2 linked regions of the Daphnia pulex genome follow. Each later gene encodes a partner of the first gene's protein in a complex. Links are inferred from orthologs where the notes say so. Each region holds a gene or a part of one and is shown in the gene's direction. Other genes may lie near its edges.

Region 1 (3,556 bases):
GCGATGCATACATAAAACGTGGGTCACCTATTTTGAATGGCAGCTTAAAGCTGGTTGATTATGTGAATTCCAGCAAACAGTTCCATTGGGAGCAATACAAGTGACGAGCAGGGAACCGGCAAACAAATTTGTATACATTAGCACTTGTTTTCTTCAAGTACGAATGGATCAGGAATTCTTCTGAATACAGCAAGAAATTTATCACCACTATTTCGCGTGACTTTTTTGCCCTCCTCCGTTGATTCGTACAGTTTTGGAACTACAATGTCTTGATCCTGATACCGCAAAAAGAATTTGTAGTTTTATAGCTATTTAATTATAAAGTATAACTAACCAGCTCTTCCTGGGTTAGTCTCTTAAATAATGGATGTTGGTCTAGATGCATAACCATCCATTCATGAAGATCTTTAACATCAGTAATTGTGTAAACCAAACCCTAAAGTAAAATTTAATTAATCACACAAGATATCTACATCAAGTAGCTAAAGAAGGGCCGTTCTAGGCCTGCCTACTTACCCCTTCAGCCAAAACATAGGCATATTCAGCCAAGAGAGTGTCATTGATAATACGCCACTTGTGTTTGGCCTTCTTAAAATGAGGATCAGGGAAGAGGAAAAACATTTTTGTCAATTGTCCTTTATCGAAAAAGCAAGGGAGGTACCTAGTAGCATAGAATAAATTAAGCAAACATGCCCAAGTAAATGAACAAAATAAATGTAAGTACTTCATGGCATTGCTTCTTAAGCAGGCAACATTTCCGTAATCACCTGGATGCAAAATCCTCAACGCCTTTATGCGATCCTGGACATATTCTGAAACTTTCAAACGAATCTCCATTCCTAACATTAAAGTCTCTGGGAACATGGTGGATAATGATACTGTTAAAAAAAAATACAAAATTAATTTTCCACATATTTTATTGGCAAAATGTGATAAAAATACTCAATAAACCGCCATAGCCACATCCAATATCAGCAAACTGAACTTTGTGTTTCATTATTCCATCTTTGCTGAATGTAGGATAGAGCTCATCCCATTTCATGTCATTGGGAGAGACAGGACTTCAAACGACAAATTGGGTTAGAAAATGACTTAATGATAAATCGAAAACTGGAAATAAGATACTCACTAGTCAAAACAGTGATCTGCGATAGGATTGGAGTGTGCTCTTTGTCGATAATATTTTTTCTGTGGTAAGCTAGCCATTTTTGCTGTATTCGAGTTCCACGTGCCGGAATCTCATAAACGGCGGGATTGTATTCGAAGAAGAGCAGACGAAATTGTAAAAGCAGTCAAAATTACGAAATGAATTTTTCAAAACTGGCAATGTCGCTCTACACACGTTCTAATGGCTGCTTGCTGACACATTTCTGCAATAGCAGTGAATTTTCTACTTTTTGATTATTTACTTGACGTAATCAATCTTCTCCAAGAAAAATGCCGGTTGCTGATAATGAGTAAGTGAAATGAGACAAATTAATGTGCAAATATTAAAAATACAACACAATCTTGATATGATTTCAGAGTTAAATCCAGTTGGGCCGATGACGTTGAGGATATCGATGGTTAGTAATGCCGCTTCCCCGTAATTAATGTAAGATTTTCTTTAATCATGCCGGTATTATTCCTTAGGTCTCGGTTTACCCCCTAACACTGAAGAATACAAAAATGGGCTGAAAATTGTCACAGAGTATGGTCTTGATGATGATAACAGGAAGTTCAAGGTGGTGCGTACTTACAAAATAGAGAAAAGGTATGTAGCTAAAGCCATTGCCCAGCGTAAAAGTTGGCCAAAATTTGGTCTTTCCAAGGAAGATAAACCAGGACCAAACCCTGCAACAACAATTGTATCTGAAGATGTAGCCATGCAGGTATTTCTTTTCTCAGTTGATCTATCAAAACCGTTGGATGCTAATTACCATTTTTACTTTGACAGTTTATTACGAACAAAGAGGATCCTGATAACAAGGAAGATGACCCTCTTATGAAGTTAAAAAGCATGCAGAAGGGCATTGTTAAGTGTCGTATCTGTAAAGAGGACCATTGGACAACACAGTGTCCTTACAAGGACACACTTTTGCCTGTCCAAGAAGCACTCAATAAGGTAAACACATTTTCTTTATTTTGAATTGAACTCTTGCTAATTTTGCTCTATATCTCTTTAATTAAGGCTGAGGAGAAGAAGGCCGGCCCGCCTCCTGCCGCAGCTGCTGCTGGAGGACCGCAAGCCAAGGGTGGTAAAGAAGGAAGCGCCTATATTGCACCTGCACTTCGTGATGGTGGCAACAGAAAAGGAGAGACTATGGCTATGGGTCGACGAAGTAAGATACAGTTTCTTCATAGTAGTTTATTTCATATTATTAAAACCACCGGAGAAGTAATAGAAAACATACATAGGAAAAACATTATTTAATGATTACCCTTTTCTTTCCCGATAACAGCTGATGAAGGGTGCACTGTACGAGTAACCAACCTCTCGGAAAACGCTCGCGATTCCGATCTTCAAGAATTGTTCGGCCGTATTGGCGAAATCTCACGCATCTTCCTCTCAAAGGTTAGACTCAAATTTATTCACTAATTATCATTTTGTAAAAATTATGGCACCGCTTCAAACTGAATTTTAGGACAAAAACACTGGCCAATCCAGAGGTTTTGCATTTGTCAGCTACAAACGACGAGAAGACGCCGAACGAGCTATCAAGACCTTGAATGGTTTTGGTTACGACCATCTTATCCTGACTGTCGAATGGTCTAAGTAAGTTAGCTCTCAATTCACTTAATTTCATTCAAAATAGTTGTGAGCTGAATTTGAAATTCATGACTGGAATTTTTAAAATTTTATTTTTTAACAATTTAGTTCTTTAAATTGACGAGTCAAATGAAACTGATCTTTCTCTTTTCAATCGTTTAACAGACCATCGGGAACACAGTGAAAAAAGCCTAAAATTCCTTCATCAAATATTGGATGCTACGATCATGTAAAGGGATAAAAAAAATACACGCAAATGGATTCCAATCAAGCTCTTCAACCCTCTATCACAGACATGAACCGAATTTTCACCTTTCTCTTTTGTCTTTCTAAGCTAAACATCAAGGGAATGAGGATTACCTCACCTAAACATTATTTTTAAGTGAAAAAAAAGTAAAGTTATCTAGTTTTGCGCTGATTCATCCTCGGCTTGACGTGCAAGATGATAGCCCCTGCTGTTACTGCTAAAGCCTCGTCCTTTACGTTTTGCCAGGTACCAGGCTACAAAAAAGACTGTCGTGATAAAAATGGTGCATCCTAGAACTATGTACATCAGGGAAAGTGGATTCGACTCGATCAATGCGCCTGTTACCTGTATCAACACGGTAAACAAAACAGACGGGTTATAAATACGTAGTGGAAATCATTAGCATTTAAATTTAACGTACCGTTGGGAATATCATCTCTCCCATTGAAGAAGCAACTGAGAAAGCCGCAGAAATCCGGTTAGTTACCAGCAGGTGTGTTTCGGTCCATATGAAGCCTGTTGCGAAGGTTGAAGCCATTCCTACGCCAACCAAGGCCGAA
Region 2 (3,237 bases), on another chromosome or scaffold:
GGCTACCTATTCCTAAATACGCGTTGCTTGCCCTATATATTTTGAAAAATACAGTATACAAAGCTGGTAGTCTTGAAAAATCGGTGCTCCTCTGTCCTTACATTACAAAAGTGGACATGACATTGATGTGTGATGGAATCGTAAAAGACGCGGATCTCGTTAGTTTACTTTCCCTTAAAAGCCTCTACATCCTTGAAATCGATCAAAGAAAGCCTTTAAACTTTAATGAAGTTACTTTTAGATATTCTGGAGGTATCACTTTTGAAGGAGGAGTTCTTCCCCTTCTCAAAAAATTTGGGAATTCCTTGACAAAATTAGAACTTGACGTTTTCTTCCTTGACTTAGACATTTTAACCATAATGCAATTTTGCCACAAGCTTCAATACCTTTGCCTTCATATGCGCAGCAAATTTGATCGTTGGCCTAAAGAAGAAGAACAAAAATCGGGAAATAAAAGGGAAATTCCTATCTTAAAACATCTGGAAGAATTGATGTTATGTTCTGATGATTCGCTTCATTCCTTTGTCCCCGCAGAAATTGTGTTAATCTTATTGTCTTCTCCGTTACTATCATTCATTTCCATAAAACTTTTGAATAACCTAACTGACAAAATCATACGAAAAGCAACGCATGTCAATTCCTTTCGTCATCTTGAGAGATTGTGGTTAACTCACTGTAACGAAGTAACTAAATACGGTGTGAACCTTTTTTTACAACAGAATATCCCTCTAAAGAAACTGATTTTGGAACGTTGCGATAAGATAACGTTTGAAGATTCCATCGAATGGGAAGAAACTTTGACCAAGAACAATTGGGAACTTGAATTAGAAATACGTCACCCTTACTAATTATTAGTTAAAAAAATAAAAAGGTACAATGTAATACATTTTTTATGATAAAACCACTCAATTACCGCCGGTAATTAGCCTAATATCGGTAATTTACCGGTACTGTTTTTTTTTAATTATTCTTGAGTAACAACACGAGGAAATCTCATATGTTCTCTCTCGGTATCTTATAAAGGTGGCATTTTGATGTTTGCTCGGAATTCCTCGGGGAAATAGGGTTCATAGAGCATGTTTGAGCAACCATTATTAAAATTAGTTACTGATGGCAGCAAGTAACAGTTATTAGTTTTTATTTTTTGTCGTCTTTTTTAATCATTTGAATTTTGACCATCGCCTAATCTGCTAAGTGCTAAGTGTACCGTGAAAATATCTTCTGTCAAAGATTTTTCAAAGATTTAAATGTCAGCTACATCTTCAACTTTTAAAATTGGCGGAAATTCGAATCACTTTCATTGGTTGAAAGAAGCTCCACAGCTCCACCCGCTCCACCTACCAAGGAGCGGAGTTATTTTCCGACTGAGGGGTTTATGAGGGTTTTCGCCCTAAATTATAGCTCAAAAAAAAATCGTTCTATTTGTTTCATTCTCGACTTTTATCGCAGAGTGAAAATGGAAAGTTTCCACTCCTTCACTTAGCTGATAATGCTTTAAATGGCAACAGAGCCTCTTAGGCCGAAAGCGTCTGCTAAAGCCACATTTCCGTCATCCGTCAAAGTCTAGTTACTGATTGTTAACAATTTCAATAACAGTTCATTATAATGGCCGAAAAGATGAAAACAGAAATCGCTTCTATGCTACAAGGAATTGAAAGGTAAGAGAAAATAATCTGAAAAAGTTAACCCCATCTGCATAGTTGAGGAACACTGTAATGAACAATGGCGGTTTGTTCTCTTATTTCTAGGTACAATCCCGACAATCTTCAGAAGCTAGAACGCTATGTTGAACTGCAAGCACAAGAAAATATGTATGACCTAGAGGCCAACCTAAGTGTGTTGCGATTGTACCAATTTGGCCCAAATTTCTACCGCAGTAACATTGTTAATCTGATCCTACTGAAGGCAATGACCAATTTACCTCACACAGACTTCTTGCTGTGCAAATGCCTTTTGACTCAAGATAGGGTATGTAATATGATTGTTTAATCTAATATATTTAATAGGAATTAATTTTTTTACTTTTCAGTTGGAAGAACCTCAAGTGAGCAGAGTAATGGTCCTAGCTGATTTGCTGGAAACGTGCAAATTCAAGCAGTTTTGGGAGGAATTGGCCAAATGTGGTGACCTAATTATTACTGTTCAAGGATTTGAAGATGCTATTAGGAAGTTTGTTGCTCATGTTGTCAACATTACCTATCAAACTATTGAAGTTCCGGTATTAAAAGAACTTCTTGGCAATGTCAACGGTAATGGCAATATTATCCATGTATTCCCTCTTAACATGGTTTTCGACATTTTAATTTTAAAAACCTCTCTTTTCAGATCAAGTTTTGAAACAATGGGTCGGGAAGTGCAGCTGGAAGGACCTGGGCAACGGCCGTGTGTTCATCACGTCGCAAGAAGATTTGGTCAAGACCAAAAACATCACTGAGAAGATCGAATTTGAAAACGTGGCTGGAATCATGTCACACTGCATTTAAAAGTGAAACTGTCTTTGACCGATCTGCAAACAGGAAGAAAGAAAAACCAACAAACAAACAATTCCAAGGGCAGTGTATTTCTGTTTTGTAACAGCTTCATATACACAATTGTCATGTTTGAATTTGATGATCGTTAAACCACCCAAGCAGTGAATCCCATCGCCGTATTTACACCCGGAATCTGTTTTCCTCTCAAGCAGCATCTAATTAAAAGTTCTGAAATTCGATTCTGCTTTGGCCGATATGGTGTGGGCATGTGCCTCTACATTGACAAGTGAATTGGTGGATGTTTTAAATGATTAGCGGGACATTGAAAAAACAAAGAAAAACCATTTTCATTCGCTTCAAAAACGGATGCTGAATCCGCGGAACTCGGGCCGTGCAAGGTATTCCCAATTGCGAAGCTCGGTGTGGTCGATCTTGCATCCGGGGCTACCTGTCCTCGTCAGCCATTGTGCCCTGTGGAGGAAAAAGGTTTGGAACAACAATTTTAATTATTTCTAGTAGTAGAACTCGTTAAACACACAGACGAATCCGCTTTGGCACCGAGCGCATGACGGGTCAGGAAGATTCTAAAAGTAGCTTGTTTCTCCTCGCTCTACAGAGGACGAGCCCAGCATAGTTAAGGTATTTAACGACGTGTCCTGCCCAAACCATGACTCGTGTGCCTTATCTAGAACCTCGAATGGGCTCGATGCCAATCGTCATTTCGTCGTTTAAATCGTTCGGAGCTGCTCCTGCTTCTGCACCCTAC

What was found. The genes of interacting proteins can lie anywhere in the genome.
Region 2: eukaryotic translation initiation factor 3 subunit G-like (region 1) and eukaryotic translation initiation factor 3 subunit K-like share a complex: the UniProt entries of both Caenorhabditis elegans proteins name them as parts of the eukaryotic translation initiation factor 3 (eIF-3) complex. The link is inferred for Daphnia pulex from reciprocal best matches to the Caenorhabditis elegans genes eif-3.G and eif-3.K.

The regions. Positions count from the first base shown.
Region 1 is NC_060023.1:11,177,244-11,180,799, reverse strand, and holds eukaryotic translation initiation factor 3 subunit G-like, read left to right. Parts: upstream 1-1,320; 5' UTR 1,321-1,437; coding exon 1,438-1,457; intron 1,458-1,524; coding exon 1,525-1,565; intron 1,566-1,632; coding exon 1,633-1,871; intron 1,872-1,936; coding exon 1,937-2,104; intron 2,105-2,170; coding exon 2,171-2,321; intron 2,322-2,332; exon of another isoform or gene 2,333-2,441; coding exon 2,442-2,554; exon of another isoform or gene 2,555-2,624; coding exon 2,625-2,755; exon of another isoform or gene 2,756-2,914; coding exon 2,915-2,933; 3' UTR 2,934-3,016; downstream 3,017-3,556. Other genes in the region: tRNA (guanine-N(7)-)-methyltransferase-like, read right to left, coding at 138-275, 335-436, 517-661, 725-878, 943-1,061, 1,130-1,206; flocculation protein FLO11-like, read right to left, coding at 3,153-3,341, 3,418-3,556. UniProt on the Caenorhabditis elegans protein: RNA-binding component of the eukaryotic translation initiation factor 3 (eIF-3) complex, which is involved in protein synthesis of a specialized repertoire of mRNAs and, together with other initiation factors, stimulates binding of mRNA and methionyl-tRNAi to the 40S ribosome.
Region 2 is NC_060028.1:2,216,448-2,219,684, reverse strand, and holds eukaryotic translation initiation factor 3 subunit K-like, read left to right. Parts: upstream 1-1,496; 5' UTR 1,497-1,605; coding exon 1,606-1,658; intron 1,659-1,748; coding exon 1,749-1,968; intron 1,969-2,029; coding exon 2,030-2,249; intron 2,250-2,325; coding exon 2,326-2,483; 3' UTR 2,484-2,605; downstream 2,606-3,237. Other genes in the region: uncharacterized protein LOC124209413, read left to right, coding at 1-848; acylphosphatase-2-like, read right to left, coding at 2,828-2,942. UniProt on the Caenorhabditis elegans protein: Component of the eukaryotic translation initiation factor 3 (eIF-3) complex, which is involved in protein synthesis of a specialized repertoire of mRNAs and, together with other initiation factors, stimulates binding of mRNA and methionyl-tRNAi to the 40S ribosome.